Struthio camelus: one gene and its partners. The protein of the gene in region 1 binds, or shares a complex with, the protein of each later gene. Links are inferred from orthologs where the notes say so. Each region holds a gene or a part of one and is shown in the gene's direction. Other genes may lie near its edges. The genes, in order: ING3, VPS72, ANP32E and MBTD1.

Region 1 (7,943 bases):
CTCAGTGAAAGGAACGAAAGAACACTACTAGGGACAACAGAGCCTTTAAGGATCAACCACTGTTCGTCTCTCTTAGAGATGAACTACTACTTCTCTTTCAGATTGGTTGAAATTAGTCAGTTAATTCAAAAGAGAGGGAGAGGGCAGAGTGAAAGGACAGATAAAAAAAAGTGTGCACACAGACACACAGCATGCTTATATAAGCTTTATTTCCTTAGGAAGTCAGGATAAGAACACTTCAGTTATTAATATATAAACAGTGATTGCTCATATCCTGCAGACTTTTGAGGAAATAACAGAAATCTGCAAGTAAATTTAACTGAGCCTGCAGCAGACAAAATTAGGTAAAAGATGAAGATGTAATTGCTTGAGTCAGTACACAAACATAAGCTGAAAGACAAATGGCAGTTCCATTTTCCTGTTGACTGTTAAAAGTAAATTAATTATCTGGGGTCATGGATTTGTTTCCAGAAATAGGAGTGTGAATCTCAGAATTTGCAAGAGTTTGTAATATGTAGAAATGGAAAGTGATTTTTTTAGATAGATTACCACGCAACCACAATACTTCTGGGCCAAATTTGCCCTTTTGAGGATCATTTCACAGAAGTGTGAAGTTTCTGCATACTGCTGCCCTAGACAAGGGTAACATTATTTACTGGATAGTCTCACCCTGCTTTTTCTTAGGATCTGGCTTTGGATGGAGTTTCCCATTACATAAAATTGATTGCCCAGAACAAATACGATCATGCTGTAACCTTTACATGGTACTCAGTCTCAAGACAATTTAGTAATTTAACTAATGTCCTCCATAGCCATGGGTGTATAGTACAGCTGGAATGACAGTTATTTCCTGCACAGTGAGAATGAGGCTGTGGAAGAAGAAGGGGCAGAATACGGGAGATGGTGAGGTCCACAGCTGCTGAGAGGGACAGTTGGACTGCAAGAGAGGAAGGTCTGGAAAGAATGGAAAGGTAACAGCAGCAGAAAGAGAGTAGGCAACAAACAGATGAGGAAATATTATAATAAAGTAGTTGAAAGCCTGTAAGGAGACCAAGGGCCTGATGCTAACACTGGTATTCAGACAAAACTCTGTAAACTGCTAGGAATGTTGCTATCGGCAGCAAATGCTCGCTGCAGCACACCGTGGTGAATGGATTTCCGCCAGATAGGACTGCTGTACTGCAAACGGGGCAGTGCCAAAGAAAAGCAAAATTCTCGCATCCAGTATTTTAAGAGCTGCCTAGGCTGGTACTTGTACACAGGCTCTGTTGCACCATTACTTAGTGCTGGCTGGCTGTCACTGTCTCTTAAAGCTCTTTAGCGAGCACAGTCTAGACCTCAGTAACAAAGAGCTTTTGCTTCACATTGTATGTTAGCAGTCTTTGTGTGCAAAGGGGACAGACTCCCATATGAGAAATTCAAAGCGCACAAACCTACCAGCAGTAGCTGAGACCTAGGATCATCAGTCTAGGGATGGGCTAGATAGGTCTTTCCTGATTTTTTCAAATCAAAGTATTAGTAAACAGTCCTTGAAAAAACAAGCAAAACACAAGGACTATAGGTTTAAAAACACTGGATTAGGTAAGAGTTAAAAATCAAAGTACCAAAGAAACTACGCAACAGTGACACTCCCGAATAGGTATAGAAAGCCCCTGAAAAACATATAGCTTGCAAGACAGACAGAATGGATAGGAGAAGGACAGTGAATGGAAAGAACAACTGATTGAGGAGGAACGGGAAGTTGGACAGAAGGAAGTCAGAGACTTGGCACACAAGCCTGCAAGTGGGAAGTGACAGAACAGAATTATGGAAAAAAAGACATCACAGAGATCTGGAATGGGAAAGGACAGATGAGAGGGAAAAGACAGAAGAGTCTGAGCCTCATCTAAGAAATGTACATCAGAACATAAATCCATGTTTTTTAATCTTTTTTTCTTTCCTGACAGCTGAAAACTAATGAAACCTATGCAAGCGATTAGCTTTAGGTAGATCACAGAGCAACTGCAATATTCCTTTATGCCATCATTCTGCCACAAGTGATGAGACATGATTTATGTGAAGCATTTGCAGGACAAAGGCCATCAACATTAATAATGTTACAGTTTATACCAGCAGGAGGAAACAGCAACTCCTATGGCTTCCATTCTTTCCTCTATGCTAAGCATGTCTACTGCTATATGGAAGGTTTTTTTGAACAATGTTGATTGCAATTCACAAATTGAATTTCTTTTTAGCTTGAATTCACAGCTAGTGTTTACTTCTTTTTTAAATGCATTTGCATCCCAATAAACACTGTCATTAATCCCTCTTTCCCTGATCAGGAGCTGCTCTAAATAGGTTGTTCCAATTAGGCTGTTCTGAAAGTCAGGTCTTTACATTTATACACAATAGGAAGCTTTTCACTGTAAAAATATTGTTCCTTTTGTACGGCCTTTAAGGCTAATCACTTCTTAAAGTGGCAATTTAAACTCTGTTCTGTCAGTCTGCCATGATGAGCAGTAGTTACTCACACAATCCCACTGAATTTGGTTGGCTATACACTTGAGTATACAGTGTGAATTAACACCGGCAGAAATGGACTATGTGACAATTTCTCCAATTGTACAAAAAAGAGACTACAGATAGATAAAGGAGTTCATATTTGCTTTTCAATACTGAACAAAGCTAAATTCTATTTTCACTCATACTCTACATTATCCCCTCCCATCCCCTGCTGTAAAGCACTACAATGCATGATTTTTAAAGAAGCTTCCTAATTTTACAAAAGTTGCTGACACATTCCACTAAAACACAAAGGGGGCCACTCCTGCCTTGGAGATAGCAGGGTCCAGCCCCACCAGAATCTTGTCTTTGTCATTCTGTTGGCGTGCCTGAGTCCCATTTTCCCTTGCCACTCATGCGGACGGTGCAAACGCTAGCATTAAAAGGAGTGACTGAGACCCAGCCTCAAGCAACGTGTTTCTTAGTTTGCTTCATTTGGGTACCACAGTACACAGGAAATATTTGAAAACACCCTATCACACTAGCTCTTGGTGAGCATTCTGCTGACTCTCCCCAAGCCCACAAACTCAGGCACGCAGCAAACTCAGGCATGAAAGAGAGAGTTATTATGCAGCAAATTCAGCACAGGAGACGGTTACAAGTCCCAGCATCCTGGCTGTCCTGTGATTTCGGTCATGGGGCACCATGGTGAGACTTTACCATATAACTGTGCTTCAGTTGTAGTTCTAATGGTGGAGTTGTTTTGTACAATATTTTTGTACAATATTGTTCTCTTAAATATCTGTTGGATATGTATGTATACATACATATCCATTTTGTCTACTATAAAATTTTGTTTTCAGTCTTTAGGGAACATTAAAGCCATCACTGAAAACGAAAAAAGTGACCCCCATCAATTCAGATTTCCCTAAATTCACCATCCTTTTCTCCTAATGAAAATAGGATATGATTACTTTAGCTGTGCATTTGAATACGCTAAGTTATCTTGCCACATCGAACCCTTTCACTTTAATAGAAGTGTAGCGATTCATTTCCCAGGAAGGATCAGAGCGTTTGTCTTCCACATAACAACAGGGGCACAAGCAATTTCTCACACAGAACTTCAAAAACATTGTCATTCCTATACCAGCATGTTAAAATTTGTACTTTAAAGAGTGCAGATGCTTTCAACTATTGCTCCTGACTGATACTTACTGGGCTTAACTGCATCTAAAAATTGTTCAGCGGTATTTATGACATTAGTCAATACTTCTGTATCAGCAGTGCAGAACAAACAGCTAATTGATGGAATGAAAATGGAAAGCGACCACTTAGGTATAACACTTTTCCAAGAAGTTCATAGTTATTGTTATACTTTTTTTTTTTTCATTTACAATAAGGTAGGAATATAAAAGAATGCTTGGCTATATATTATGTTTTTGAGACAGAACTAAAATGAAAATCTTCATAAAAGCCACACACAGAATTTAAGCTCCAGCTTCCAAAATTAAATCATTTTTAGCTAATTACTCACAACATATGTACTTAAAACATGAGAAAAGAATGCAATTTTCCCTTCATCCTGACACTCAAAAACATCCTGCACTGTTTTTTTCTCACACTTGGCTAAGCCATATACTTCCTTTCCTTGCTTGGATGCATATGGCGCAGATGACCAAACGAAAAGATAACAAACATGGCAGAAAACTTGTCTTTTCTGGTATGGCAATTCTTACGCTGCCTCTATCTACATCCGGTATCACCCACTCCCTGAAAAGTCCTCCCCACCATCAAAAACCATATTACACCGTAGGAACATCTGGACAAAAACAATCACTGTCTTCTACGCATTAGCGCATGACTAGACCAGGAAATACAATTAATGATAAAACAGCGATGAAATAAAGGTATTCCGGGGATTGAAACTGCGGAAAAACTTCAGCTCAAAACATTTAACAAGTAAATTACAATAAGAAGCCTTGTAACTTACTCATTTCTATCTATTTGCTAATTATTTTTTCTACACTAAAGAGCAATTCCAAAGCCCACAGATATCCCATTATACCTGTAACTTTTATTACTATCTATACTACTCTTTTTCTGGCGAAAAGACAGCGCACGGACTCTAACATTAAACTCCAGGACCTGGGGCTGTAAGAAACCCCCAGTGACAACGCAGGGCACAAGGGTCGGGAGGCAGCGGAGCGGCCCGCGGTAGCTACGCGGCGCCCCGCAGCCGCCACCCCGCCCGCCCAGCTCCCCCCACCGCGCCAGCAGAAACGGGAGGGCGGGAAGGAGCGGCCGCCGCAGTGCATCATGGCACACGTAGTTTCCCGGCCCTTCCCCGGGCAGAAACTACATTTCCCGTGATGCCGTCGGCGGCGCGCGAGGCACGGCGTGCGTCAGAGGCGCGGGCAGCCAATTGCGGCGCGGCCGAGCCGAGCCCCGTCAGCCGCCAATGTTGTTTTCGCTGAGTCGAGCTGCTGGTGTTGTTGGCGGCGGCGCCATATTGGAAGGGACGAGCCCCCGTTAGCGAGAAGCCCCTTGGCGCTCGCCCGGCCGCCGCCATGCTGTATCTGGAGGACTATCTGGAGAGTGAGTGTGTACGGGACGGGGATGCCGGGCGGCGGGGCATAGCTAGCGGAGGGGGGCCGCGGGGAGGGGGGAGCCGCGGCGACGAGGCGGTTCCCCCCCTCCCCCACGGCGGTGACTGACTTCCTCCCTCCTCCCCGTCTCCCTCCCCCCCGCCCCTCCGTGTGCCCGCAGTGATCGAGCAGCTTCCCATGGATCTGCGCGACAGGTTCACCGAGATGCGCGAGATGGACCTGCAGGTGCAGAGTACGTGAGTCCCGCCCCCTCCTCCTCTGCCCGCCCCCTCCCCTCCCGCGCTTCCCCTCGCCTCTCCTCCTCCTCCTCCCCGCGCCCGCCTGCGCCGCTCGGCCCGGCCCGGCCCGGCCCGCCGGCGGGGGGCGGCCGCGGGCACCGGCTCGCTCGCGCCGGGGGCAGGAGAAGAGGGGGCGAAACAGCGCCGCGGCAGGCGCTGCGGCCTGCCTGGGCAGCCCCGTTCCCCGCCGCCGCCCCGCGCGGTGGCCCGCGGGTGGCTCGCCCCCCTCCCCTCCCCTCCCCTCCCGACGCCCTGTCTCTCCGGCAGCGCCGCAGGCCGGTCCGGTGCGGGGGGCCGCGCCACGCGGCCGGCTGCGTCTCGTCGCCCCTTCCGGGGGGCCGGCAGCCAGCGCCGCGCCGGGCTCCTGGCGTCTTCTCCTACGGGAGAGCGATGGCGCGGCGCTGTCGGAGCGGGCGCGGCTGCGGCTGCGGGAGGCGGCGCTGCGGAGCCCCGGCGCCGCGCGGGGAGCCGCCGGGACGCAGCGAGGGGCGGAGCGCGCGCGCCTGGCGCTATGTCAGCGAGCGGGGCCGAGCCGCGGCCCCGCCGAGCCGCCCGGCCGCTCACAGCGCCGTCTCCGCGCAGCTAGGATTTGACAGGAGCTTCGCTCCTGGGCTTGTGCCGCTCCTTAAGGCGTTTTCGGTGGCATGTCCCAAACTCTTTAGACTTTTGATTCCTAAGAGCAGTGGTGGTGGGTTGGAGCATGAGTTTTATCCCGCTCTTCCAGCAGGTCGCTGTGCGCTGTTTCTGAAACCTTCCAGCCATCTCCCCTCATGATTGTACATGTGAAAATGTTTTCTGCCTAGTCTCTTGTGCCTTAGCTGGCACTTACCAAATATACGTCCACTTTACGTTTCTCTGTTGATCTTTTTGTATATCTTGTGTTTATATCCTGATTTCAGATGCTGCCTAATTTTGTTTTCAGGATTCCTTGCCTTTTGGTCTCATCTATGACTTATGTCAGGATGCTAAAGGATTCTTTGGCTCTAGTTAGGTGTTGCTGTCATTTAACACACAATTAATATGGTCATGACCATAATGCAAAGCTCTTTGTTGACGAAATTGTTCTTTGTGACAAAAGTTGCGAGGATTCATCAATACAGAAGGACTGGGCAATCATAAGGAAGAATGAGAGAGAGAAAGAACAAGGATTGAAGTAACAAGTTGGTGCAGTGCAGTAGTATGAAATGCAGCACCATGCTTACAATATTTTGCTGTCTAGGAGTGCAATAGGTCAAACAATAGTTTGACCTATAATCCTTTCAAGTGAGGTCTCAAGCTTGATCTGAGGTATTTACTTTAATGATTCCAGCTGGTCTGTTTGACAGACTTTATTAATGTGTGTTGAACTGGCTATAAGTTTTTCTGTATACTGTGGTGTAAGTGCTATCCTGGCTTCAATGCCAAAGCCAAAGGACGTGAACAGTGGCTCAGGAGCTGAGCAGTAGGAGATAACATTTATGAAGTAAGTGTCACTAGGGAGCACCAGGAGAGGGAAGGAAGCAGCTCGTGGGCTTAGGTAGTTCCAAATAAGATCACAAATTTGCCTTCTATTGAGTATGGAAACAAAGCTAGTACTTAAAGTGTATTTCAGGACGAGCCGACTAGTGTTGCCAAGGCTGCAGTACTGTCGTTTCCTCTGCCATAACTGGAAATGGCAAATGACACTAAGTATTTTATACTAAGTTCAACCTTAGGCCCAGATTGAAAAAAACAAATCTCTTTTGGACCGTAGTACTTCAATAATTCTTGCACAATGAGTGACAAAACATCCCAAGACATTACAAAACTCCAGAACTCTCATCTCTTCCATGTCAATTGCCAGACAGCCAGCTGAATGTTCCGTATCAACCAGATTATTCTGATGCTGTGAAATAGTGACTTTCTGTGTAGCTTCAGTGTCTCTGACGGCCTTGAAAACAGCATTTATGCAAGGGATGCTGTCTCAGAAAACTACAAGAGTCATAAAGCGATAACTGCACTACTGTCAGAGTTGATACTGACTTTATAGTCTGTCCTTTGTGGGGAACATGGACTTCTAAAGGGACAGGTGTTGCTTCTTGTCATTGGAATAAGTATAGGCAAACCAACTGTATCTATTTTACGTCTTGATAATACCTGTGGGAAAGGGAAGAACATCCAAGTTGTGACTTTGACTGTTGATGTCCAACTAAGACAGTTTACATGTGGAGCTTAAAATGTCTTTATCTATTTCAGTTCAAGTCATGGATTATCAGGCCTCCGTGATAAAATGTCAAGCTCTGGGAAAAAAGTTCTCTATTCTAGTAGAATTTCTGGCAACTCCCTTGCGAAATCTGTTCTAAGAAATTATTATGTCAGAATGTAGTGTCACAGTAGGCTTAGAAGGGGGCAGAGGGAGAAACAGAAAAACTGAAGGAACTTACATATACCAGAGAGAACCTTTGGATAATTGAATAGGTTCTCTCCTGTGTTTCCCCCTTAACAGTCCTAACCTTTCAAGAGAGTCCAAATTTCTTTGAAAGTTTTCACATATGCAATTTCACACAGAGTGAAAGGTGTCCTCAGTAAAAAGTAAAGAGGGAAATTTTTTTTTCGTGTC
Region 2 (7,495 bases), on another chromosome or scaffold:
AATTGATATTCGGGAAGACCGCAAGAGAGACTTTTATAACCGAGAGACAGAATTTGAGAAGTCATTTGATGTCTTATTTTAAGCTTAAAGATAATGAGCCATTCAGATGTTTGTTTAATATGATCTTTCCTCCTTCCACTAGGTTGGATCCAGAAAGCAATGCCCCTCCTGCAGGAATATGACAGTGGGGTGGATGAGACTTCCTAGAGGTTTTACACCTATATTTACAGCCTAGCAGTTCAGAGGCCTGCTCTTAGCTCATTTCAGATGTATCGGGATAATTCTTCTGCCCCTAGAAGCAACTGAGCCATTTGGAGAGCAATTCTTTTGTCTGTGGACTTCAGGGAGGGGCCCGAAGCCAGGGTGACAATGAACTCTCAATTCGCTCAGATCTGTAATTATAAAACGGTCACTGAACCAGAGGCACAAAGAATCAAACAACTGAAATCCCACATTAGCATTTTTGGTGCATGCTGCTTGAAAGTGAAAGCAGCAAAATGAGAAATCCTCTTGGGTGTTTCCCTAGCGAGTTAAACACATGCTGAGGCAGGGCTCCAGAGCAGTCAAGGAAAACTGCCTGCTTGGCCTGGGAAGAGGAAAGGGAGGGAGTTTCAGAATCATTCAGTAATCAGCCCCAGAGTGAACTGCAGCATGTGCACTGAGGGTAGACACTGCCTCAACAAGCCATGGCAGGACTGGAGATGGTTTAAGGTTTACCATGGAGAAAATTTAAAACCTCATGTCCAAAATAACAGGCTTCCACCAACAACCACTGGCCTCCTTTTGTCTGCTGGCAGTCCTCTGCCTTTTGTAGAGCTGCTCCGTTGGCATTTGAAGGGGTTGCTGGGTGGGTAAGCAAGTCGTACCTGAAGCCTTCACACAGTCAAGCTGAAGCAACAAGCTGCCATGTTCTGGCCCAAGACTGATTTTGGTGCCCTACCAGCCTCTGCCCAGGGCAAAAACAAAAGCACTAGTTATTGCTCTAACCTGGTGTTTGCTCCTGGCCTTGTTATTACAATGCAAGAATGGGAAAACGCGTTTGCCAAGACAGTGAAATGCCTCTGCCTGGCAGGACTGCAAGGTAATGATAAACACAGGCGCTGCAAGCCAGGTCTCTCTGTGCGATACCTTTTAGGAGAGGGATAGGCACAGTGGGATCCCTCTAGAGACAGCTCTTTTACAGCCACGTTACCCAACACATGGCTGATGAGCCCATTTAGCAGTGGCAGCCAGATTCCCACTTCAGGATCCCTCTCCTTAGCCATGCAAGGACAGCAGCTCACAGCTCTCATTATCTCCAGTTCTACCTGTTCTCTCAGGAAGCTGCAGACCAGTTCCTACTCAAAGCCCAAAGCCTGCCTAGAGCAGTCCCAGTCAGGGACTTCCTCCCAGAGGGAGGTGATGCTCAGCACGCACAAGATATTCCTCTGTGCTACCGACTAGAGAGGACCCAAGTCTCCCAGAGATGGGACCAACAACAGAAAGCAGAGATTTAAAGCCTGTGCCAGCAGGGATCAACCAAGGTGAACATACCTCACACAGTTGAGGCTCTGCAATAATTAGGATTCAAATTCAGTGGGAAATGTGTGCTAGCCAACACCTAGCTACCCTGAGAAGCAAACAATGGCAATTATTCCAACAGGAAGAGAGAAGAGATTTACCTGTGCATTTGCATATTTTCTCTTAGGGCTTGAAGGGTTTCAAGAGCTTAAGAGCCTTCTGAAGCAAGCTCCTCCTTTCCAAAATAGGAAACAGGCAAGCACAGGAAAGGATCAAGATCTCAAAGGAAGCCTCAAAGCAGGGCAAGGAAAAGACCCCAAGGGTCCAGCCCCTGAATGCTCCGCCTATGCCGAGCTCAGTGGGCAAGAGCTATGCTATGCTCTATGCTGAGACAGTATGACTGTCGTAGCCAAAAAAGACCTAAGTAATCTCTTCCTCGCAAAACTGGCTCCATCAGACCAACAGGTACTACTTCTCCCATGCCTAGTCATAAGGTGAACAAATACGAAGTGAACATGTCAGAGATCCATTTGCAAAACCATCCAATGATCACATCCAAGAACCCAGGAAGTCTAATACCCTCACACAGCCTTCCCAGGTGACACCCGGACAACATTGCCTCATCGACTCCACTGCAACGATTAAAATAATCCCTTTTACAGTGGTGTCCAGGATCCAGGGATTCACATACATAGCCTGCTAGCTACAAAGGGGAGTCCTAGGGATGGTTCTCATTGGGATCCGTCCCTAAAGGCTTCTACAAGACACCCCGGGTAGCAGACAGTGGGGCTTAAGGTATAAAACACGTGGTGCTTTCAGTGTGTCAATGAGGCTGAGGTTCAGCTGGAAGCCTTCCTTCGTGTTTTGTTTCCTTGCTGCAATTCAAGTCACAAGAGATTTCTTGCTGACCAGAAAGTTTCAGCATATTGCATTATAACAAATAAAAACCCTCCTTGCTCTCCAACAGAGCAACTCAGGAAGGTTGGATGGATTTTACCAAATGCAAGTTAAAAGGCTTTTAGATAGTCATTGCTGTTTCTAGCCTTGAACTAGCATGAGAAAGCTGCTTTCTGCAAGAACATTAGCCATGAAATTCTGGAGGAAGAAGAGTTGCAGGTTCAAGAACCAAGAAGTACCTTATTTTATCCCAGGCATGGTTTCCACACATCCCTATTTTATCATTACTGGATTCTTCTGGATGAGAACTGTGTCCAGTTTGAATCCAGCATATTTCTGCTTCAGCTAAAATTAGCTGATACCCTCTGACTGCAGATCCAATGCAATTTAAATCAGTGGAGCAAGAGAAACCTTCAGGTCTTCTACCAGACCTAGTTCTAGTCATTAAAACCAATCTAACCAGAAGATGTTTACATTCCCATATCATCTTGCATCTCACAGGTGCTAAATAGCTTTGATGAGCTACCTTCACATTACCCAACACCAGACACAGCAAAGAGGGTGCCTCTGCCAGGGAGATGCTATCCTCCCCCTTCCCCAGCACCGCACAGTCCTGCCTGAAGGAAGACATTCTAGCTCCCCACCACCACCCTCTAGCAGCTGAGTAAGTGAAGCCAGCACCCACTGCCCCCACCTGTGAAGGCAACCTGACTTGGGGGGGTCAGGCTTTAGCAATATAAGGGAAAATAGAGTCAACTTTCCCTCACAACAACCCCTTGGGTTCCCACTGTAGGGGGCTCAGCCACCCTCCCTGCCCCATCAGGACACCCCTTAAATGTAACTCAATCCCACCTCCCCAGGAGTCTCTGTGAACCCCCCCACTACCTATCTGTGGGAAGACTTCAAGCCCCCCTACCTGCCACCATTCATGCCCACAGGACCCTCACCACACACCTATGAACGCCTTGCAGGAAAAGGGTCAGCCCTTCAGAGACCTCACTCCCAACACCCACAGAAATTCCCACCCCAGCTCACTCCATGGAGCCAGCTGCTCAGCCCACTCAGAGCTTGCCCCATAACCCTCCTGCTCTCGCTCCCCTATGCCTTGCAGGGAGTTCATCCGCAACTCACCCTCCCCCCTCCCAACACACTCCCCCACACCTCACTTCATCCCACAGCACCAGAGACCAGACTGCCCCAAAGTCCTGCCTCACATCCTGAGCCCCAGGCAGCACCCCCAGAGCCTTGCCCCAGCTTTCCCCCTCCCACCCCACACCGGGCAGAGCCCAAGACCCAAGTGCCTTCCTGTATACACCCAGCCTCACAGCCCCCAAGGTCCTCCCCTTCCCCCGAGCCCCTCCCAAACCCACGCACCCCACAGCCCTCGCTCCCCCAGAAATCCCCACAGCGTTCCAACCCCCTAAGTCCTCTCAGCCCCACACACCCCACGGCCCTAAGTACCCCTCAGAGCCTGCTCCATCCCACGGCCCTCATCCCCACAACCCTCTGCCCCTCAAAGTTCACCTCAGCCACACAAAGCCCGCGGGCCTCATTCCCCCACAGAGCTCACCTCAGCCCCACAGACCCATCACTCCCCTCCAGAACCCACTCCAGCCCCACACACCTCAAGGCCATCACCCCCCTCCATCTCATCACAGCCCCACACGCTCCACGGCCTTCATCCCCTCCAGAGCCAAGTCCAGCCCAGCCTAGCCCCACATACCCACCGCCCTCACCCCTCTCAGAGCCCAAATCGGCCCCATACATCCACGGCCCTCTCCCCATATCCCCCACTCAAGCCCCCTACCTGCCAAGCCGCCGCTGCTCCCGCTGCTGCCCCCCGACTCGGGCCCGGCCGACGCCATCTTGGTGCGCGCCCTCCTCCTGCGGCGGCTCGCGCACTCCCCCCGCCCCCTCCCCAGCCTGCGTTCAGCCCGCGCCGCCCCTCCTGATTGGTACCGCCCGCCCGCCCGCCCTGCTCCGCCCCGCCCCGCCGCTCAGGACCGCACCATCCGGCAGCGGGCGGGAGGGACAGCGGCGCCCACACGCAGAGCCCGCGCGGCTGACCACTTCCCTCACCCCCCCCCCACTTGGACGCTCCTCCACCCCCGGACGCAACCACTCGGCGCGGGGCAGGAGGGGGGGAGAGTCCTCCCAGGGCGGCGGCCCCACCTGTTTCAGTGCTTGGCGGAGGTGGCGGGAGGGGCCTGCGTAGGGCGCATGCGCGTCAGTGGGGGGGAGGGGGTGAATGAAGCAGGCATGGAGGCTGCCATGAGTCACGTGATGGGACGAGCGGGCCAAAACAATGCCGCGGGGGGAGGGTCACGAACCGCGGGTGACGTCACGCCAGGGTGCGGCGGTGACGTCACACTCCTGACACCACAGAAGAGCCCCCGCAGGGCACATACCCTACACAGAAGCCTACTCCAGGCCCTATACCTAAGAGGGGAGCCCTCCCGCCGCAGACCCGCACCCTGCAGTGCCCTCCTTCTAGCCCCTAGGGGGAGCGCGAGCACCATCGACCTCTCGGCGCTCGCTCGGCCCGGCCTGCCCATGGCGCGCGGGCGGGGCAGGGCGAGCAGCGGCGCGCCGAGCGCGGCGGCGGCGGGATGAGCTTGGTGGAGGGTCGGGCTCCGCGGCGCACGGCTGGGAACCGCCTCTCGGGGTTGCTGGAGGCCGAGGAGGAGGATGAGTTTTACCAGACCACATACGGCGGCTTCACCGAGGTGTGGGGGTGAGGGGAGCCTTTGAGGGGGCACTGGAGTGGTCTAGGGGGGCTCGAGAGGGCTCTTAAGGCTTTGGGGGGCTCTGAAGGACCCCTATGAGGGTATTTTAGAGGTCCTGAGGGGTTCTGAGTGTGCTGGGAGACTCTGGGAGGTCCTGGGAGGGTATTTGGGGGGATTTGACGTGTTGCAGGGCAGTAGGGATCCTGGGAGAATATTTGGGGGTGTCTGAGGGGGCCCTCAGATATTGGGGACCTTTAGAATAGCACTGGGGGGACAGAAGGCCCTGAGAGGGTGTTTGGGGGGGTCTGAGAGGATCCCGAGGGCATTGGGGGGACCTGGAAGCCTTTGTGGGAGACCTGGTAAGGTTGGGGGGGCCAAGGGAGGGTATTTGGGGGGGGATGACAGGTCTCTGAGGTTGTTGCGGGAGTTCTTTATGGGGGCACTGGCTGGGGTGGGAGGCCCTGGGAGTGTATTTGAGAGAGTCTGAGATGGTCCTGGAAGGGTATTAAAGGCCTTTAGGGGGCCCTGGGAGGAATGGGTGGCCCTGGAGCTGTGGAAAGAGGGCTTATGAACTGCTGAGTGTTTTGGGGGGCTCTGAGTGGGTATTGAGAGTCCTTAGGGGAAGGCACATGGGGCTTGGGGGCAGGTGAGGGGCTTGGGGATCCCAGTGCTTTAAGTGGTATGGGGGTCACAGAGAGACCCTCAGGGATAGTAAGAAGTCTGGGGAAGGGGATGGGGGCTAGCAGGGAGGTGCGAGGAGCAGGAGGGTCTCTTGCCTGGGGGGGCACTGAGAGAAGCTGCCCCCACAGAGACAGGGTTACTTCCCCCGTGGGGCAGGAGGGCACTGGGACTCAGGGCCACATGGGGTGGGGAGCAAAGCCCTGCGGGGGTGACGCGGCCTCTCTGTTCCCGCAGGAGTCAGGCGATGATGAGTACAAGGGTGATCAGTCAGAGAGCGATGATGAGGTGGACTCGGACTTCGACATCGATGAGGGCGAGGAGCCGACCAGTGACCAGGACGAGAGCGAGCCCAAGCGGCGGTGCCGCGTCGTCACCAAGGCCTACAGGGTGAGGGGCGTGCGGGGCTGTCTGGATGGGACTAGGCTCAGGACTCCTGGGTCCCCATCCCAGTCCCGGGAGGCACCAACCCATACCAGGACATCACTGCTCTGTCCTTGAGAAAGGGCAGAGGTGTTGGGAGGACCTGAGCTACCTCCAAACTACTCGGAGAAGATACAGGCATTCCTGGAAAGATGGGATAATTAAGAAAAGCTAACAAAGCTGCTGCTATTAACAATGTCATTCGTCGTGAGGGGGGGATGTTCCTCTCTGGGGCTGTTGGTGCTTCAGCAGGGACCACTGTGTGGTCCCTGAACAGGTTCTTGTTTAAACAAGGCCGAAACCTTAGCGGGGAGGGAAGTTTTCTCTTTTTTTCATGTCACCTCATGTCTGATCCCTGTAGGAGCCCATCAAGAGCCTGCGACCCAAGAAGCCGGACACTCCCAGCAGTAGCTCCCAAAAGGCCCGAGAGGTGAAATCCACCCCCTTGGAGCTCCAGGATGAAGTGGGAGACAGTGAATGTATGTGGGCTGGGATGTATCCACCTGGGTGGGCCGGAAATGGGTCCTTCTGAAGCCTCTCTCAAAGCTGGGCTGTGCACTGGGGTCTGGCTCAGGCTGTACAGGGTGGCTTGGGCCCAGCAGGTGTCCCCAGTTGACTCCTGTCCACCCACGGCAGGTCGGAAGCACATGCGGCAGTCAACGACAGAACACACGCGCCAGACCTTCCTCCGCATCCAGGAGCGGCAGGTGCAGTCCAAGCGCAAGAAGGGTGGCCCCAACTATGACCGCCCGCTGACGCAGGAGGAGTTGCTGGAGGAGGCCAAGATCACAGAGGAGATCAACCTCCGTTCCCTGGGTGAGCGGGGCAGAGTGCCAAGGGGCTGCCCTGAAGTGGTGTGGGCTGGTGAGTGAGGGCATCAGTGAGGTGCTGAGACCCCATTTGTCCCCACCTCTGCAGAGAATTATGAGCGCCTGGAGGCCGACAAGAAGAAGCAGGTTCAGAAGAAGCGGAAGTGCGTGGGGCCTGTCATCCGCTACTGCTCCGTCACCATGCCCCTCATCACAGAGTTGGGCAAGGAGGAGAATGTGGATGTAGAGGGGTAGGTTGCCTCACAGCATGCAGCTAGGCCCCTCCGGTGTCAGGTCCTACTCCAGATTGCTCCCCAGGCTCTGTCCCGTCACACTGAGGGGGAAGTGGGTTTCGAAAGGCACATTCGACTCCCTAACTCTGCACTCCAGTCCTGTGGAGGGGATTGAGGAGGGGATTTGGTGGCTTTGACTCATCCAGGAGTTGCCTCAGGGTTTTCCCAA
Region 3 (7,885 bases), on another chromosome or scaffold:
TGGCCTGATCGCTTCTCTTTCAGAGCGGGAAAAGCTCAGCAGCTTCAGGGCGAGATGCAGATTTTGCCGCTTTCCCTCTTGCAGGCCACCACTTTAACCGAGCTGCTTTAAGACCAAGTCTCCGTGCCGGGAGCCATCCCCTGCGGCGTTTGCAGAGCGATCAACAGCAACGTTTTGTTTCCAGTTGTTCCACCGGTGTAAATCCTCAGGAAACACCGCAGTCCTGGGTCAAGAGCAGAATAGGGAAAAAAACAAAAGAAATGCACTTGCATAGGACTCATCCTGTCAAAAGGAGGCTTTTGAAGCACTTGAAGCGTGGCGTACAGTCTAAGTTATTACTTTCCGTAATTGTTCTTAACCAAATGTCTTGCATCCATCACTACTAGCAGCACCAGCAAAGCGCTCCAGAAAGCCCCGCGGCCAGGAAACCCAAGTCCATACCAGGACTCCTATCGGCACAGCTACCCCGGCCAGGGGAAAACGTGCCACCACACGTGCTTCAGACGGGTGATGGAGAGCAAGGACCGATGCGGTCTGCGGTTGCAAGCGTGACACAAGTTTCAAGAAGCAGCTAAAAATACGAGAAGGGAGCAAAGAAAGCGCTCCCAAAGAGCTGCGAGGGACTACTCAAGTAGGGAACGGGCTGAGAAAATACTGTGGAGGTTACCCGGCTTGACATCAAAGGGACTTCGGGGGTGCGAAGTAGAAGCGGAGTGTTTTGCAGGGAAGCGCCAGGAGCCCTGGCGAGATTGAAATATGCTGCAAGCCACTGCCACCTCCTGGCTCTTCACCGCACTATCCCAGGAACTGCTGTAAAAGTCAAAAAGCAGTGTTAATCTTTGCCTGCAAGAGCGGTAAATCTATTTCCAAACATACCACTTGCTCAGGAGCCGAGATTAACCTTGCAATGAAGAAAACTGAGTGAAAATGAAATATATGCAAGAAGCTTGTGACATGCCAAGTTTATTACTGAACATCACCAGCATCGTTACCCAACGGCGGTATCCCCAACAGCAAAGACCAGAACCCCTCGAGCTCTTCCCCAAAGTACTAGATTTCAAAGTAAAACCTAACTACACAGGGCATAAAAAGGTAATTTGTACAACAAAACCGGTGTTAGCTTTACAGCACGTTTTAAAAACGGACAAAGAAAGGGCAAAACAATACTTAAGCTGCTCCATCAAGATAAGGTACGCCTTTGCCTTATTACCATCACAGATTTAGAGAGATACAGGCGATTAAATGAATAATCGGTCCTTCCTGCAAGAGATGTGAGTGATTATCCGTGATTTATGCAGACCACGCATGAGAAAAGCCTGTACGTGGCCGAAGGGGGCCGATTCCTGCCTGCCTCCCCCTTGCACAAATACCTTCTGCACTGCCCCGGCATCGCTAGTGACAGCTTATAGAAAGTGTAATAATAAAAAATTGGAAGTAATCTCATCTCTTTTCCAAAACTGACATTATTAAAAAAAATCTCATAGCGAGTACATGCGCATTAGCGAGTATATATTATTTCTTGCGCCGCGATCTAACTTATCTTTGTGGAAGAAGAAACCAGGTCCCTCAAGCTCTACTCCATTTTTGAATCACAGCCCCAACACTGCAGTATCCCAACAGCTTAGCAAACCCTTCTAGGAACAAATCTCGTTGCACCTGTTCTTTGCACGATTACCCAAATCCTCCAGAACCAGGAACCCCTATCGGCACACGCAGCATGCAACAAGTGACATACCCAAAATGCACAATGCCTCATTGGCTGTTTTTTCCTCAAAACGATCACAATTTGCATTTTGCCGCTGTTGCGCCCAACCCACTGAAATTCCTCCCGCAACGATGCGACATGCATCTTCCGGATGCGCTTAATGCAACCCAGCCTCAAAACAGGCGCTCGGTCCCCGGGAGCAGACTGGAGCTGTTCAGAGGGGGAAAACCCCCACAGTTGCGCTTTGCACATCAGCACGGGTTGCTGCGCTCCGCCGATCTGCTGCTAACACTCGCACCGCTAAGGTGGACAGGGCTGGAAAAGCAGGACACAGCTGTTTTCAGCCCAGAAATACTTCAGCTGGTTAAACTAGTTTGCTTGGGCAGCGGCAGCCGTCAGCTAGCAGAGCTCTGCATGAGCTTGTGTGGTTTTTTTTTTTTTAGAAACCCATTAACACTAAAGACAGAATTTCTAGGAAGGAAACTCATTTGTGCCGATTTCCACAATTACTGAGGATTGAAAATTGCCTCCTGCATGTATTATTCACAAGTTATTGCCTTCACTCACCGCGTCCTGACCTTACGCCAGGCCTTAAAGCAGGGCTCTCCTGGTGCACCCGGCCTGGACGAGGCTGCTGCCCCTGCGAATGTTAACCGTTTCCTCCGCTGAGCAAACGCAGCTGAAATGTAAAGCATAATCCTGCTTTGGTTATTTCACTCATTTTTCTTAAGTTTTGGCATCCCTCCCAGAGCACTTTTCCTGTGCAAAGCATGAGCAAGCAGGTTTCAGCAAAAGCAGCCCTGGGTGCCTGCAAACGAACCCGTAGTCCGACCCCATAGGCACAAATTCTGTTTTCTGACTGATCAGCTAAGTTCAAGATGCTTTTTCCAATTTTCACCTCAGTTTTTAATCCGGCTTTCCAAAAGGTATAGGGGATGCCAAACGCTCAAAGTCAAGCGCAAAGGGGTCATGCCAATCTTGGCAGATCACGGACATGGTTTAAAGCCCAGCAGATACGTGAAAGCAGCAATAAGGAAATCGTATAACTAGGGAATATTGCTGGTATTAAATTCCGCCTTGGCATCGCGAAGGAACGCTCACTTCCAAACCAAAGGCAGCACACAAAGCACCTCAGCATCAGCTAGCACAGAAATGTATTGCAATTTTAGCTAAAGCGTTGTAGCGTTGGAACAGATTTTCTCGAGACATTACTTTCGCCACATTAGTGGGTGAATTTCTATAAGATCGGCTGAAACGAAACACCCTCCAGACCGAGCACATCCCAGGATTGGCAAGACTTGGGCATTTTGGCTGCATTTGTAACCCCTTTCTTCAATAGTCATAGAGAAAGGGTCCCGAGTTCTCATAAATCGGAGCCTACAAACACTCACCATATGAAACAAGAAAAATTTTCTTCACCAAGTTTAAACAAACTAGAATATGCCAGCAGAGATTTCCCATGGTTTTTCTGTCTTGACACTAAGTTGCCAAAACATCTCTGCCTATTTGTGTCACACAGTTAAAAGCAGCAGCGCACAAATATTTAGAGTTTCTTGTCCGTCGGGGCCAGCACCTAACGCCTCCCCTCGGGCAAAGCATTTCCATCCACCGTCCGACCTGGCACCTCAGCCCCTGCCACAGCGTCGCCCAAGATCAGCATCTTCTTTCCTCGAGGAAATGAGAAAATATATCAGTAACACAGCACAAGAGTCCATCCCACAGCAGCACCATGTACCAGCGCACCGGGCATCAACGGTTGGAAAAACTCAAGGCCCCAAGGTGGCAGGATCCAAATTTTAACTTGAGCCAATGCTTTGGCGAGGTCTTTTTTGCAGTGCTGGCCCTAGACCAGGGCACTCACGCTGAGCGGAACAAGTCAATGGTTTCCTATATAGTCAGGATTTATGGGATTGGGATTAACAGCTACTGGAAGCCAGCAAGAGCGACATGGTCAGGGTGAGCTTTCCAGGGTGTTCATGCATGAGTGCAAGACCTATGGGTTGTTGCAGGCAGTTTTAGTTTGCTCAGTGTTCAGAAAGCCCCTAGACCACTTTGCAGCATGCAAGCCAAGGAAGCATTCCTGCAGTTATGGTGCATGCAGAGTATGCACTGGAGCAGCTTCAGAGTCAGGTTTGCTGGGGAAAGCGAAGCTGCAAAGGGTCTGCTCCCATGTCCTGCCTCCCTTCTGCATCACCAGGAACAGATGCAACCCTAGGGCATGCAATCCTCCATGCAACCGGGCAGGCAAAACCCTTGGGGCAATCCCCACATGCAACCATGTAAAACCCTGCCTGCAACCTCACCTTGTGCAACCAGCTGAGCAAACCCTCTATGCAGCATCCCACCTAGAACTGCCCTGTGCAACCAGGCATGCAAAAACCCACTGTGCAAAACCTCACCCGCAGCCCTCTGGGCAACCGGGCATGCAAAACCCCACCTGCAATTGCCTGTGCAAACGGGTAAGTAAAAACTTCACAGGTAAAATCCCAGCTAGAGGGCCTCCTTGAGCAACCGGGCATGCAAAACCCCACGTGCAAAACCCCTGCCTGCAGCTCCCCTGAGCCACCAGGCGTGCAAAAACCCTGCCTGCACCCCCCACCCCACGCAGAGGAAGGAGCAAAAACCCACGGGCAAAACCTCGCCTGCAGCGCCCCCGTGCAACCGGCCATACAAAAAATCCCACGGGCAAAACCCCGCCGGCAGCGGCCCCCGTGCAACCGGCAGCGCAAAAACGCGGCCGGCGGGCAGCCCCGCCCCGTGCAACACCCCGCGGCGCGCGCGCTCCCGCCACCCCGTGCGCGCGCGCCCCCACGCCCAAAAGCAACACCCCCGCTGCCGCCGCTGCCGCCGGCCCTGTTTTTAAAGCGACGCGCCGCCGACGGGCACCGCGACGAGCCAATCGGGCGCCGCTCTCCGGCCGCGGCCCGCCGCCAATGAGAATGCCGGCGGCGCGGAGGAAGCCCCGCCCCCCCTCGGCGGCGGGGGCGTGGCGTCGGGGAGGGGGCGCCATGCGCCATGTCATGGAGGCTTAGTGTGCGAGCGGCCATTGACGGGGCCGGAGCTGCGCGCGGGCCAGGGGGGTGGCGGCGGCTGCCGGCCGAGTTCCCGTCCCGCCTCGCGGCTCCCTCGCGGCCGCCGCCACAGCGACCCCGGGTCTGTCCTGCCCGGCGCCCGGCCACCCTCCCTCTCCAGTGAGGAGCCGCGGGAGGGGGGGGGCGATGGAGATGAAGAAGCGCATTAACCTGGAGTTGCGGAACCGCGCGCCCGAGAAGGTGAGGGGGGGGGCGGCGGGGGCGCCGGGGGAAGGGGGGGGGTGGCGAGGCGCCGCTTGGGCCCCGCGCGGTTCGCCGCCCTCCGCCCGGCCCGGCCGCGCCGCCGAATCTGGGTCAGCCGTGGCGCAGGAGCCCCGCGGGCGCGGGCGGCGCTTCCGGGCGCCGGCCCCGGGGCGGTTTGCGGCGGCGACTTGCTCCCCCCCCCCCCCCCCCCGCCCGCAGCCGCCTCCCCCCCGCCCTCGGCCCTCGCCGCCAACTTCGCGCCCGCGTCTCGGGGGCGCTCGCTCGCCGCGGACCCCCCCCCCTTCCCCCCCGAAGTTTGGGGTGTGTGTGTGGGGGGGAGAGACCGCCGCGTGCGTGCGATCCCGCAACTTTTACTCATTTTTTTTCTTTAAATTTGGGGGTAATTCGCCTTGTTTTCAACTTGGCGCGTGTGACCGCGGCATCGTTGCCCCGAATGCGTCGGAAACGGCTCGGATTTCCCGGGGTGTGTGTGTGTGTGTTTGTTTGGTTTTTTTCCCCTTCCCCTCGCCAAGAATCTACCCCCCCCCCAAAAAAAAAACCCAAAAAACAGTGAGGTTTGAGGCCGTTTGGGCTGAGCCCCTCCTCCCCCGGGTCCCGCCCGGCCCGTGGGGCGATGGCACCCGCCGCCCTCGTGGCTCCGGGCGGGGACCGCCGGGGCTCGCAGCGAAACTTGTGTGTGTCCCCCCCCCCCCCCCTTCACTTCCACACGAGCCGCTGGTGAAAGCCCTGAGCGGCGGCTACATCGCACTTTAGCCCCTCTTGCCCCCCCCCCGGCTTCCCCTCGCCCGCCGGCAGGGGCGAGCAGCGGAGTCCGCTCCGGCGCCGCCACCGGCTGCGCGTTTCCCCGTGGGACGCGGCTGCCGAAATCCTCCGAGGCCGGAGTTGCGGCGGGTGGTGAAGGGGGAAACCCCTTTCTCATGCTCGGATCCTCGCTGCTTTTGCCCAGCGTGGGGGGAAAAAAAAGCCTAGCTCCGCAATTACTCTTTTTTTTTTTTTTTGGGGGGGGGGGGGGTAGCGTGCGGCGGCCGAGTTAATCCCCTGTAGTAATTTCATTGACGGCCCCGCCAGCTGCCCGCAGAGGAGGCTGAGCGGCTCGCAGCCCCCGCTTCCCTGCTGGCGAATCTGTCCGGCGGACGAGCGGTGCCCCCAACAGATGTTTTTTGCATTGAGGTCGGCGAAGAACGCTATTGACCCGGCTGCCTTGCTCGCCCCGAGAGTAAAGTCCAGAGAGGTTGATACTGCAAAGTGCTTTAAACTCAGCCTGAGGGACTGACCTGCCTCGTAGGGAATTTGGGGGGAGGAGGGGAAAAAAAAAGGAGAGGGGGCATAAACCGTTTATTCAACTGAACAGCGTGTGGGTCCGTGCGCTGTGGCAGGTATCTTAAAAGGCCGAGATAACGCTTTTAGGTTGGCAGATGCATGTTATCTTGTAGCCTAAGACATCAAGCTCCCCTCTCCCTTGGCAGGTTTCTTTAAAAACCTGTGTTTGCCTTTTTTTTTTTTTGGAAGAAAAATAAGAAAGAAAACATTGAGACTTTATTTGAAGCTGACAAATTGTGCTACGAGTTCAAATACTTAATTTCCCTCCACAACACGAGAAGGCAGTCTTAAAATTTTACTTAAGTGCATGCTGGGGAAAGGTATAGTCACGTTGTTAACAGCCTTTCTAATGAGTGGTATACTCCATAACGTATACAATAATGCAGAGTTTATTGGATGCTTTTTGTTACCTCCTCTCAAAGTATGAGACGTTCTAGTTGTTTTAGGAGCAGTGGCTTAAGAAAGTTATTTAATTATGCTTAATTAACTTGCACGACTCACTGCTAAAATAATCTGAAGTCGGAAGGTTTAGGATTCAAAAAGAAATGTAATGGCTTTAGGCGTTAGAATACGCACAATTATTAGAATTTAGAAACTAGTCGGGGTGCATACTGTCAAGGTTTTGGTATATAAGTGAACCACTAACTGATGGAAAGGAAGGTTTTTTCCCCTCCTTAAAAAGAGCAGATGAATCTCAAGCTACCCAAATTACATGATCTTGCTCTTTCCTCTTGTTCAGTGTAATCAGGCCTTTACTGGAAATGGGATGTTATATTTGATGGACTGTCTCTGTGATCTGACCTCACAATTCCCGTATATGTTTTTATGTAAAGGATTACACTGTTTCACCATATTGTGGTGGCACTATATGAAGCCATAGAAGTATGGCTCTCAGTACGCTAAAGTTTCTTTTTAGATAGCTGTCTTTGCAGCATTTGAAACATGCTCGTAAGAAGGGAAACTGTTGCATACCTTTTTAAAACAGGCGGGTGCTGTGACTTCAGACCGCAAATAACTTCAATTCTGGTTTAAATTAAATACACACCAGGTGTTTAACAGCCTTCGAGTTGTGGTTAGGCGAAGTGCACGGTTTAGTGATGCTCATTAAACTGACAAGCGACTTGATATCCTATTTGAAGGTGACGGAGTTGGTGCTCGATAACTGCCGATCCAGCAATGGTGAAATAGAAGGTCTGAATGACTCATTTAAAGAGCTAGAGTTTCTTAGCATGGCCAACGTAGAGCTGACATCGCTGGCCAAACTTCCCACGTTGAGTAAGCTCCGAAAGGTACGTATCTCTGCTCCGCAAAACAGCGTGACTTGTGACGTTGACAATCACGAGCAGTGCAACTTGTTGTGTCTTTCGGTATTTGCAGTTTAATTTGCATATCACTGGCCGCGTATCCATGCCAATCTCCATTTTTTTGGAAGATGTAGAATGGTTTGGGGCATCTCTAGTTCATTATGTTCAAATTACTCTTGGTCAACAACTCTTAGAACAGTAAATGCTTGTCTGTTAAAAATGTGCAGGTTGGCCATATCTTTATGAATACTTAATGACTG
Region 4 (8,094 bases), on another chromosome or scaffold:
GAACTTAAAATCATGGCTTAACATGCAGCATTCAAGGAACACTTGATGCTTACAGGTGTGTTGACATTACAGGAATAAAAAACAAACAGCAAGAAAGTTGCTTCCATACTCCTGTCCCCCCAAAAAAATCTTTGCTAAGCTGACAATAAAAGAACGGCATTAACACTCTTTCAGAACCAAGTTACCTACAGGCCTTGTAAAATAAACGGGGTGTACATGGATCTCCAACTAGAACTAGTTCAATACAGGCTCATTGGGTCCCTCACTGGGAGGTCCCCATTGAGGAACAGCACTGAACATTTTTTGACAAGAATACTTTTCCTAACGAAAATCTGAAACAAATCCAGCTGCCAAATGACATTTGAAATCTAGCTGAAAAAAATCTGTATGCTTTACGAACCCCAGGAGCTAGCATGATTCATGAACACATTAAACCTACCACAATTCCCAAGGAAAGCAGTCCTATTTCCCCCTACCCTCAGCCACTTGCTTCCATATTGAGGCCATTCTTTCTGACAGCACAGTGTTTGCGCACCAGCTGAAACAGACAGACACCTTTCCAGCAAAGCTTAAAAAGCCTATGAAACCCTGGCCTTAGCTCTATCACCAGTCCCAAAGAGAACTGCGTAGTCTGCAAAACGTTCTCAGACATCCCAAAATCATTTGTTGAAGCTACAGTTCCAGACAACACAATACCTCATTTTCTGAGGCTGTCAGCACGTCTCATATTTCTGTTTTAGTCAAAAAGCCAGATGGCTTTTCAGATCAAAGATAAGCAAGCAGATTCAGGAGGCAAAGGGTACCAAGAAACTGAGGCAAAGTGAGTCATGAAAAAACCCTACCTTCATTGACAGCAAGTGAAGATAACCTGAAGTTCCAGTAAGCAGCATAAATGATCCATCTGGAGACACTTCAAAATTTTTGACAAACTTCTCCTCCATACCTTTAAAAAGAGGGATTCAGAACTTCAAGCTGGCATGATATTCTCTTTCAGCTTTCAGATCTATGATGAACATGAGTAAAGACCTGACCCCACTTCAACTTTTCATTTCTGCCATAGGCTGCCACAGGAAAGGTACAACTCAACCTTAAGCTTGTGTGACAACTATTCAAACTAAAACTAAACACACTAGTAAAAATCACTGAAGACAAATAACCGTACCACCAATGGTTTACTGCACTTTCTTTTACAGTTGATTTATATGCCAGCTCTGTTTGGGACAATCTCAACTATACCCAGAGAGTTAAAATGTTAACACTTAAACGTACCTCTTACTTGATGTACAGGAATAATACTTCCACCCATCATGTCATACACATAGAACATTTTATGGTGGGTACCAGTGGCTATAACTTGTTCTCCATCAGCACTGAAACAAGCCTTATAGATTGGAAAACTCTCTAAATAGATGCTTTGTATTTTTGGATTCTTTATACCATCAACCTTCAAAAAACACAGATAATACATTAAGGAACATATGAAGTCTTTCTACACAAAAAAAGTTAATCTTGACTAGCCAGTACAAGAGACTTATGCAGCAAAAGGTACACTCGTTTGAAGTATTAATCTCCCTACCTTCCCAATCTACAAACAACCTGGCTTTAACTCCTCACCCTAACCTCAGGCACTCCCACCCTCCTTGCACATACTCCAAACACCTCTCAGCCTTCCTGCCATGCCCAGGTTTTGTTTAATTATCATTTATATTGTGCTTTCCTATATGACATCATTTCCTTCACATTGCTCGCTCTTGCAGACCTGTGGGAGTCAAGCTTGACTTGTGCCTTTGACCACTTCACTGGTCCCTGAATAGAGAAATAGACTTTTACATTTCAGAGGAGCGTGACAGAAGAGTCCCAGGATGAGTAGCTTCCTGCTGCAGGACAGTCTCTCCATTCCAAAAATGCTTTGAGCTCTCCACTTTCATTTAAAGCTACTGTTGCTCAAATTATTATTTTTTTAAAAAAACAAGACAAACTTGGGGAAAAAAAAAATCACATCAGTCCTAGTCACTACAATCTTGAAACCAAAGATATTAAAAAAAATTCTTTACTAAAAATCTGGACAAAACCAATTTGCCTATACCCTATAAGCAGTTAGCATGAGGCCACTGAAGAAGGCATTTTGTTGGAACAAAATTTCAGTCAAGAAAATTCCACTCTAGACACAAGGACATTACAATCTCTAAAACATCCACATGCCATCACAGGAAGAGAGGAGGAAAAAGGTAAAAACAAGCAACTCCACCCCACCCCAGCTAAAACACATTTAAAATACATTTATTAAAAAACATTCAATATTAGTTGCTATTTCCATTGCATATATTAAAATTTCTCACCTGAAAGAGTGACACAGATCGATCGCGTCCAGCAGTGAGGATAACTTGAGCAGAAGGATGGAATTGCACTGTTGAAAGTTTTCCACCAGCAAGGCGTTCCTGATTAGCAGGCAAGCAGCTCTTCATCTATAATAGAGATCAAGCGGTTAAAAAAAAACAACACGTATTTGCTTATGCTGGTGAGTAGTCAGTCAATTTAATTTCTCTTTGTTCTACAAAGCAAGAGACCTCACACTATGCTGACCTTTTAGACAACTTAGACAAGCAGAATACACAGTAAGTCAGGGAAAACGTGCTGCTACAGTAGCATAGATACAAGATAATTAACCTTTCTACCAACCTCTGAATTAATGCAATTTATATAAAATTAGTTAAATTTCAACGAATCTGGAACACAGATCAGATAGCATACAAAACTCTTAAGGCTGTCAGATTAAGTTAATTTCTTACTGTATCAAAGACCGTTTCAGCAACCTCAGAGTTGTGGGAAAATTCCATCCTTCCTACCCAATTTCTCTGAAGTAGAAATATTTAGGCCTCTAAGTTATACGGGGGGAAAAAAATCCATACAATCACCAACAGAAACATTATTGTCCAAACAGCAAAGCGGTCAAAATGTGTATAGGGGTCAAAATAAGGTAAAAGTAAGATAGGCTTGCCTTTACCTGCAAAATACCTCTTGGCAGGGACTCTGAGTTTGATATGAAATTGCCAGTCCTGCATAGCAGATCATCATCTTCATCACTATCACCTATTAAAACAAAACACATAGAAAAGATTGATTTCACAAACACTTCCTACAAACCTACAAATTCCCCACAGAAGCAACAAGAAATAAAAGCACACCGAAGGGATAAAGCCAATTTATCCCACATATTATCACCTTATTCACACTGGAGAGACACTGAAAATTGTTTTCTAAAGAGTTGAATAGGGGAGCAGACAAAAGCATATTAAAATCATAATTTCATAATCATAATGAGTTTCTTTACTGTCATTTGCAGTCTTTCTGTGTTTCTTTTTACTTCCTCTGTCAGCCCAGGCAGGAACTCCTCCCATAGCTTGCTGAAATCTAGCGAGAAGAAAAACAGGGGGCAAGTGGGAAAGGACGTTTTTGAGAAAGTAGTTTCCTTCTATGCGCAACTTACATGATAGTCAGCCTCAATTGTGCGAGGTGATATGCGCATAAAATCACAACGCAAGTTTTCCTTCCCCCTCACAACTTCACTCCTGGCATTTATAAGGTATTTTGCGGACTCCTAGAACATGAAACTAAAGTGTAACTGGTGCTAAACATGACAATACTGTTCTTTGGAATTATAAGTGCTAGTACCAAGACAGCCCAAACACGTCTACAGTAGTGCTTTGCTATCTATCTATATCCATATTTCAGCTCATTCTTTCTAACATACCTTATTAAGTAGAAACCAATCACCTAGCCTAAGTCACTGTCTCCCATCACCCTACTTGCAAAGATTTTTCTGATATAGCTCCCTAGAACACAAGTTTGTACATCTCTACTAAAACAAGTGCTAAGTAAATTAGTCCATAGAAAAGTGTATTCATAAGCCTTATTTGCTATTCTTAATACTACTTTGGAGTTAAACACAGCAAATATTGCTAGACACGATAACTTTAAACCATCTACATGAATTCAGCAAAAAGAAGAGGTACTCTGAAGGTCACACGCATGTATCTTACGTTACTAGAAGTAGCTACAGAAGGGTTAATGAAACTCACTGTTCTTGAAGTCTTTGCCTAAGTTTTTTCTTACTAAGTATCTTCTCAGCATCACTTTTCATCATATCTTTCTTATACCTGTGGGTCATATCAATCCTAGGAAAAAAGCATAAGAAGCACCCAGATTACTTAAACTGAAGTCATTTGTACTAGTTCTTTAAAGCATCGTCCTTATTTCCTATCCACAAATTTTAACTTACTTTTCCTCAGCCTCATCGTCATCATCCACCCAGGCTGGTTTCTTAGACGATAAGAAGTTATCTTTGGCTTCATTCTCCACTTCCGAATCGCTGGAGTCTTTCAGAAGGCTTCTCCCCTCGGCGGCACGAAGCTGAAAACAACCAAAGAGGCCCCCTTTAACCCAGCCAGAGAAGGCGGCACCGTTTTTTCACAGGGCGGCGGGAAAGCGGGCGGACAAGGACGGCGAGGGAAGGCGCCGCCTCGCCGCGCAGGGCAGGCCGTGGCCTACCGGCGGGGGCCCGGCCAGGCGCTGCAGCAGCTCGCCCTCCTCCGCCGCCAGGCTGTCGCCGAACACCAGCTCCTCCAGCGCCCGCTCCGCGCCCGACGCCCCGCGGAGCGCCCGCAAGTGCCGGCCGCGGCGGGCCGCCTCCTCCGCCTCCTGCGCCGCCGCCTCCGCGCGCGGCTGTAGCGGCTGTAGCTGCTTCGCCATCTTCTTTTTCTTCTTCTTCTTCTTCATCGCCGCCATCTTCGGCCGCCGCTGCCCTCCCGCCGCCGCCGGGCCGGCGCGAGCCGCCACCGCCGCGCGCCCCATCACCCCTCACAGCGCCGCAGCCGGAACCGGAACGCGTGCGCGCCGCCCACGTGACTCCCTTATACCGCCCCCGCCTTGCCCCGCCCCCCTCACACGATAGGCTCGCGCTGCTGCCCCTCCTCCGCCCCCGTGACTCGGCCCGCTTGTCGTGGACCCAAGGCGCTGTCACGTGACCTCCTTTCTTTGCCTTCCTTTCCTCCTCCTCCTCTCCGCCCCCCCCCGCGCCTTTCACGTGATGAGGTCCGAGGCCAGGTCGCTCCATCGCAAACATAGAGGGGTCCCATGCCCCATATGGCAATAACCGCTCCTCAGCGGCAGCCTGGCGGCAACCTCCCGTGTCTCGTCACCCGCGAGAAGGTAAAACAAGCCCCTTCCGGGCCGCTTTTAACTTTCATGCGCTAATATGCCGTGAGCCCCCCCCTCCTTTGCGGAGTGGTTTCGCCCAGGGGGGGTACGGCGAGCGAGGGAGCCCCAAACAGCTGGGAGCCCAATGAGAGCGCGCGGTGGGCCGGGCGCCGCGCGTGCGCAGTGCCGTTATGCTAATGTTGTTGATATTCCGGAGCAGGGAGTTGAATTTCTTTCTCCGGCTGAGTGAGAGGCTGAACTTTCCAGGCCGCCTCCTGCCCCCGCTGGGCCCGGCCCCTCGCAGGGGGAGGCGGCAGGCGGAGGGGGCCGAGCCGAGGGGAGGGGGCAGAGGCAGCGGGCACCTCCTGCCCATGAGGGCCTGATGGAAAACACAAAGGACCTGGTGAGTCCCGCGGCCGCCGCCGCCGCGGGGGGCTGAGGCGGGGGGCAGCGCTGCGGCCAGGCGCTGAGGGGAGGGAGGCGGCGCGGGCCGGGCCGGTGGGGCTGAGCGACCCCCTCCTCCCTCACGGTGTTTCCTCCCCGCCTCCCCCCCCCCCCGCTCCCCCGGGGGGAGGGGGCTGCGCGGCCTGGGCACCTGTGTGGGAGGAGAGCAGCGCCGAGCCCCTGCGGGGGCGGGCAGCGCCGGGGGGAGGCACCGGCCGCCCGGAGGGGCTCGCTGCCTGCCGCCTCCCGGCGCGCTGCCGTCGCACGAAGTTTGCGGGGCGCCGGAGGGGGGCCGGGGGGGGGCTCGGCAGGAGCTGCCGGCGGCGGCGCAGCCCTGTCATCCGCGGCGCAGCTGCGGGCACGTGGAGGCGGGCGGCCGGCGGCTCCCCCTTTGTTGTGGTCCGGCGGCGCCCCCCCTCCGGCCTCCCCCCTGCCTTTCTCTTTATGTCCCTGCCGGCAGCCAGAGCCAGTAACAAAAAGTTTCGGTCTGTCTCGTAGCGAGCGCTTCAGGCTCGCTGGGATACGCGTCCTCAGAGGGGTCTGTCGGAGCGCTGCTTTTCTCAGTAACTTCCTCTTGCCCTTAACCGCTTTTAAGGTTTAGTCTGCCCGTCGCGTTCACTTTAAGCGCTTTAGAGTATTCTTTAGTCCCGGCACTTCAGAAGCGGCGGGTTCTTTGCAGCCAGTGGCCCCGTCAATATCCTTTTTATGCTTGTTGATGTTTTGACTTTGTTCTGGACGCGAGCAATAAACTCGTGAAACCAGTTTCGCTTTCAGGTTGGCGGTGGAAGTGTTTTAAACTGTAGGAATTTCTGTCCAGTGTGACTTTAAAAAAAAAAAAAAAAGAATCGCCCTATAAAGCGTCTGCTGATTACGGTAGAAGCTACTGCGTGTGAGAAAGCAGTTCCTTTTAAAATAACACTTTAAAACGTGGGTGACAGCCCTTGTGATTTTTTAACTTCTAAAACTAGTTGCGGCTTTGAAAGCTGCAGGGTAGTCTTCTCTGTTTTAAATGAAGGCTATTTTCCAGGTCGGAGATGCTGTATTTATTTGTTTGGAGTTTTTTTAGTCGTTTATAACAGCCTGATTTTGATCCATAAGGAATGGAATAATAAGTTTAGGAGAAAGTCTAATCTGGAACATTAAATGGGAGCTAAAACAATGATATTCTTAAACAAAAACCAAACTTGGTAAGTCAGTAGCCTTTACTAGTTGCTTCTAACTAGGGATCGTTTTGAGTAAGTGAGTAGTGTAAGTTATTGGAAAGCGTAGCAGAGGTGTATTTTTTCTTAGCGGGAAGTCATTGTTTACACTAAAGAATAGTTTAGATCTTGGTCTTGAGAGTGCATAGTGCATGTGCAACAGGGTTGTCAGCTGAAAGCAAGGGTTCTCTTCATTGTGGTTCTCAGAAGAACTACGTGACTGTAGCAGTAATGACAACAATATGTACAAAAGTTCCCTTGGCTTTCATTTTTCTTACCTTTTAAAACTTGGTTTAATTCTGCAAGGTTCTTGATACCTTCTGCAAACTGCTACTGCATACCTTCGTTTCTCAGGTAAGTCAGTACATGCTGGGCAAGTGTGATATTTTACTGAATCTGGCACTTGGCACGTAGAAGGAATTCAGGTGTTCCAGGGTTTGGGTTTGTTTTTTTTTTTAACCTATAAATTGATTTTTTTTAATGGTAATGCATTGTTGAAAACCAAGTATTTGACTTCTAGACTTCATGTCTTCCAGATAACTCCTGCGTGCAAGGGTTTTGTAGAAGCATAATGGAATTTGTAACACATCTTGAGTTTTCTCAGAACTCAGATATTTCAGATATTACGTCTCCTTCCCCCTCCAAATTGCCTGCTAATTTGATATATTTTTTTGTAAAAGAGTCTCCCCTCTTGTGTGAAACCCCCTGGGGAAGAGGCTATGGACAAAACCATTGGCAAACAGCAGAAACTGGCTTCAGACAAAATGCTGTCATACATAGCAAATGAAGAGACAGGAAAAAACATTTCTGTAATTTTCCAGCTGAGATTTTACTTGTAATAAGAGTGGAAGGCACATTTCCAGATAGAGGTGAGTCGCTTCTATAAAAAAGTAAGTTTGGTTGGTTCTAATTTCCAGGAATCCCAAAACATTTAGGTTTGGGGTTTTTTTGTTTGTTTGTTTTTAATGAAAATTGAAAGTATGTTTTCTTTAAAATTGAAATGGTGTTTGAATTTTCCTTTTTTGTCATGCTCTGAGACACAATTAGTTCTTCAGTTCCACAGGGGGCAAGCTAGTATTACTACACTAAATTATTTTGGCTAGGTGAAGTTCAGAAGAGTTGTAATGAATTAGTTCTGTCTTCTTGGTGTCTTAATGTTGAAATACAGAGCTAAAACTAAACTTGCAGCATAAAGCATTAATGAACTTTTGAAAACAAAGGCCGTGCATCGAATTTGGTATGAACTTGGAAGTAC

Evidence for each region.
Region 2: ING3 (region 1) and VPS72 share a complex: the UniProt entries of both Homo sapiens proteins name them as parts of the nuA4 histone acetyltransferase complex. The link is inferred for Struthio camelus from reciprocal best matches to the Homo sapiens genes ING3 and VPS72.
Region 3: ING3 (region 1) and ANP32E share a complex: the UniProt entries of both Homo sapiens proteins name them as parts of the SWR1-like complex. The link is inferred for Struthio camelus from reciprocal best matches to the Homo sapiens genes ING3 and ANP32E.
Region 4: ING3 (region 1) and MBTD1 share a complex: the UniProt entries of both Homo sapiens proteins name them as parts of the nuA4 histone acetyltransferase complex. The link is inferred for Struthio camelus from reciprocal best matches to the Homo sapiens genes ING3 and MBTD1.

Annotation. Positions count from the first base shown.
Region 1 is NC_090942.1:26,308,836-26,316,778, reverse strand, and holds the start of ING3 (inhibitor of growth protein 3), read left to right. Parts: upstream 1-4,852; 5' UTR 4,853-5,048; coding exon 5,049-5,076; intron 5,077-5,247; coding exon 5,248-5,319; intron 5,320-7,943. UniProt on the Homo sapiens protein: Component of the NuA4 histone acetyltransferase (HAT) complex which is involved in transcriptional activation of select genes principally by acetylation of nucleosomal histones H4 and H2A.
Region 2 is NC_090971.1:35,345-42,839, reverse strand, and holds the start of VPS72 (vacuolar protein sorting-associated protein 72 homolog), read left to right. Parts: upstream 1-4,392; 5' UTR 4,393-5,006; coding exon 5,007-5,123; intron 5,124-6,038; coding exon 6,039-6,191; intron 6,192-6,585; coding exon 6,586-6,703; intron 6,704-6,860; coding exon 6,861-7,040; intron 7,041-7,142; coding exon 7,143-7,284; intron 7,285-7,495. Other genes in the region: putative PIP5K1A and PSMD4-like protein, read right to left, coding at 4,205-4,262. UniProt on the Homo sapiens protein: Deposition-and-exchange histone chaperone specific for H2AZ1, specifically chaperones H2AZ1 and deposits it into nucleosomes.
Region 3 is NC_090971.1:2,784,360-2,792,244, forward strand, and holds the start of ANP32E (acidic leucine-rich nuclear phosphoprotein 32 family member E), read left to right. Parts: upstream 1-4,671; 5' UTR 4,672-4,923; coding exon 4,924-4,977; intron 4,978-7,460; coding exon 7,461-7,610; intron 7,611-7,885. UniProt on the Homo sapiens protein: Histone chaperone that specifically mediates the genome-wide removal of histone H2A.Z/H2AZ1 from the nucleosome: removes H2A.Z/H2AZ1 from its normal sites of deposition, especially from enhancer and insulator regions.
Region 4 is NC_090960.1:7,139,409-7,147,502, forward strand, and holds the start of MBTD1 (MBT domain-containing protein 1), read left to right. Parts: upstream 1-5,062; 5' UTR 5,063-5,133; coding exon 5,134-5,208; intron 5,209-5,258; exon of another isoform or gene 5,259-5,578; coding exon of another isoform or gene 5,579-5,599; intron 5,600-7,519; exon of another isoform or gene 7,520-7,708; intron 7,709-8,094. Other genes in the region: UTP18 (U3 small nucleolar RNA-associated protein 18 homolog), read right to left, coding at 843-943, 1,270-1,444, 2,340-2,465, 3,005-3,090, 3,332-3,411, 4,080-4,175, 4,280-4,410, 4,549-4,851. UniProt on the Homo sapiens protein: Chromatin reader component of the NuA4 histone acetyltransferase complex, a multiprotein complex involved in transcriptional activation of select genes principally by acetylation of nucleosomal histones H4 and H2A.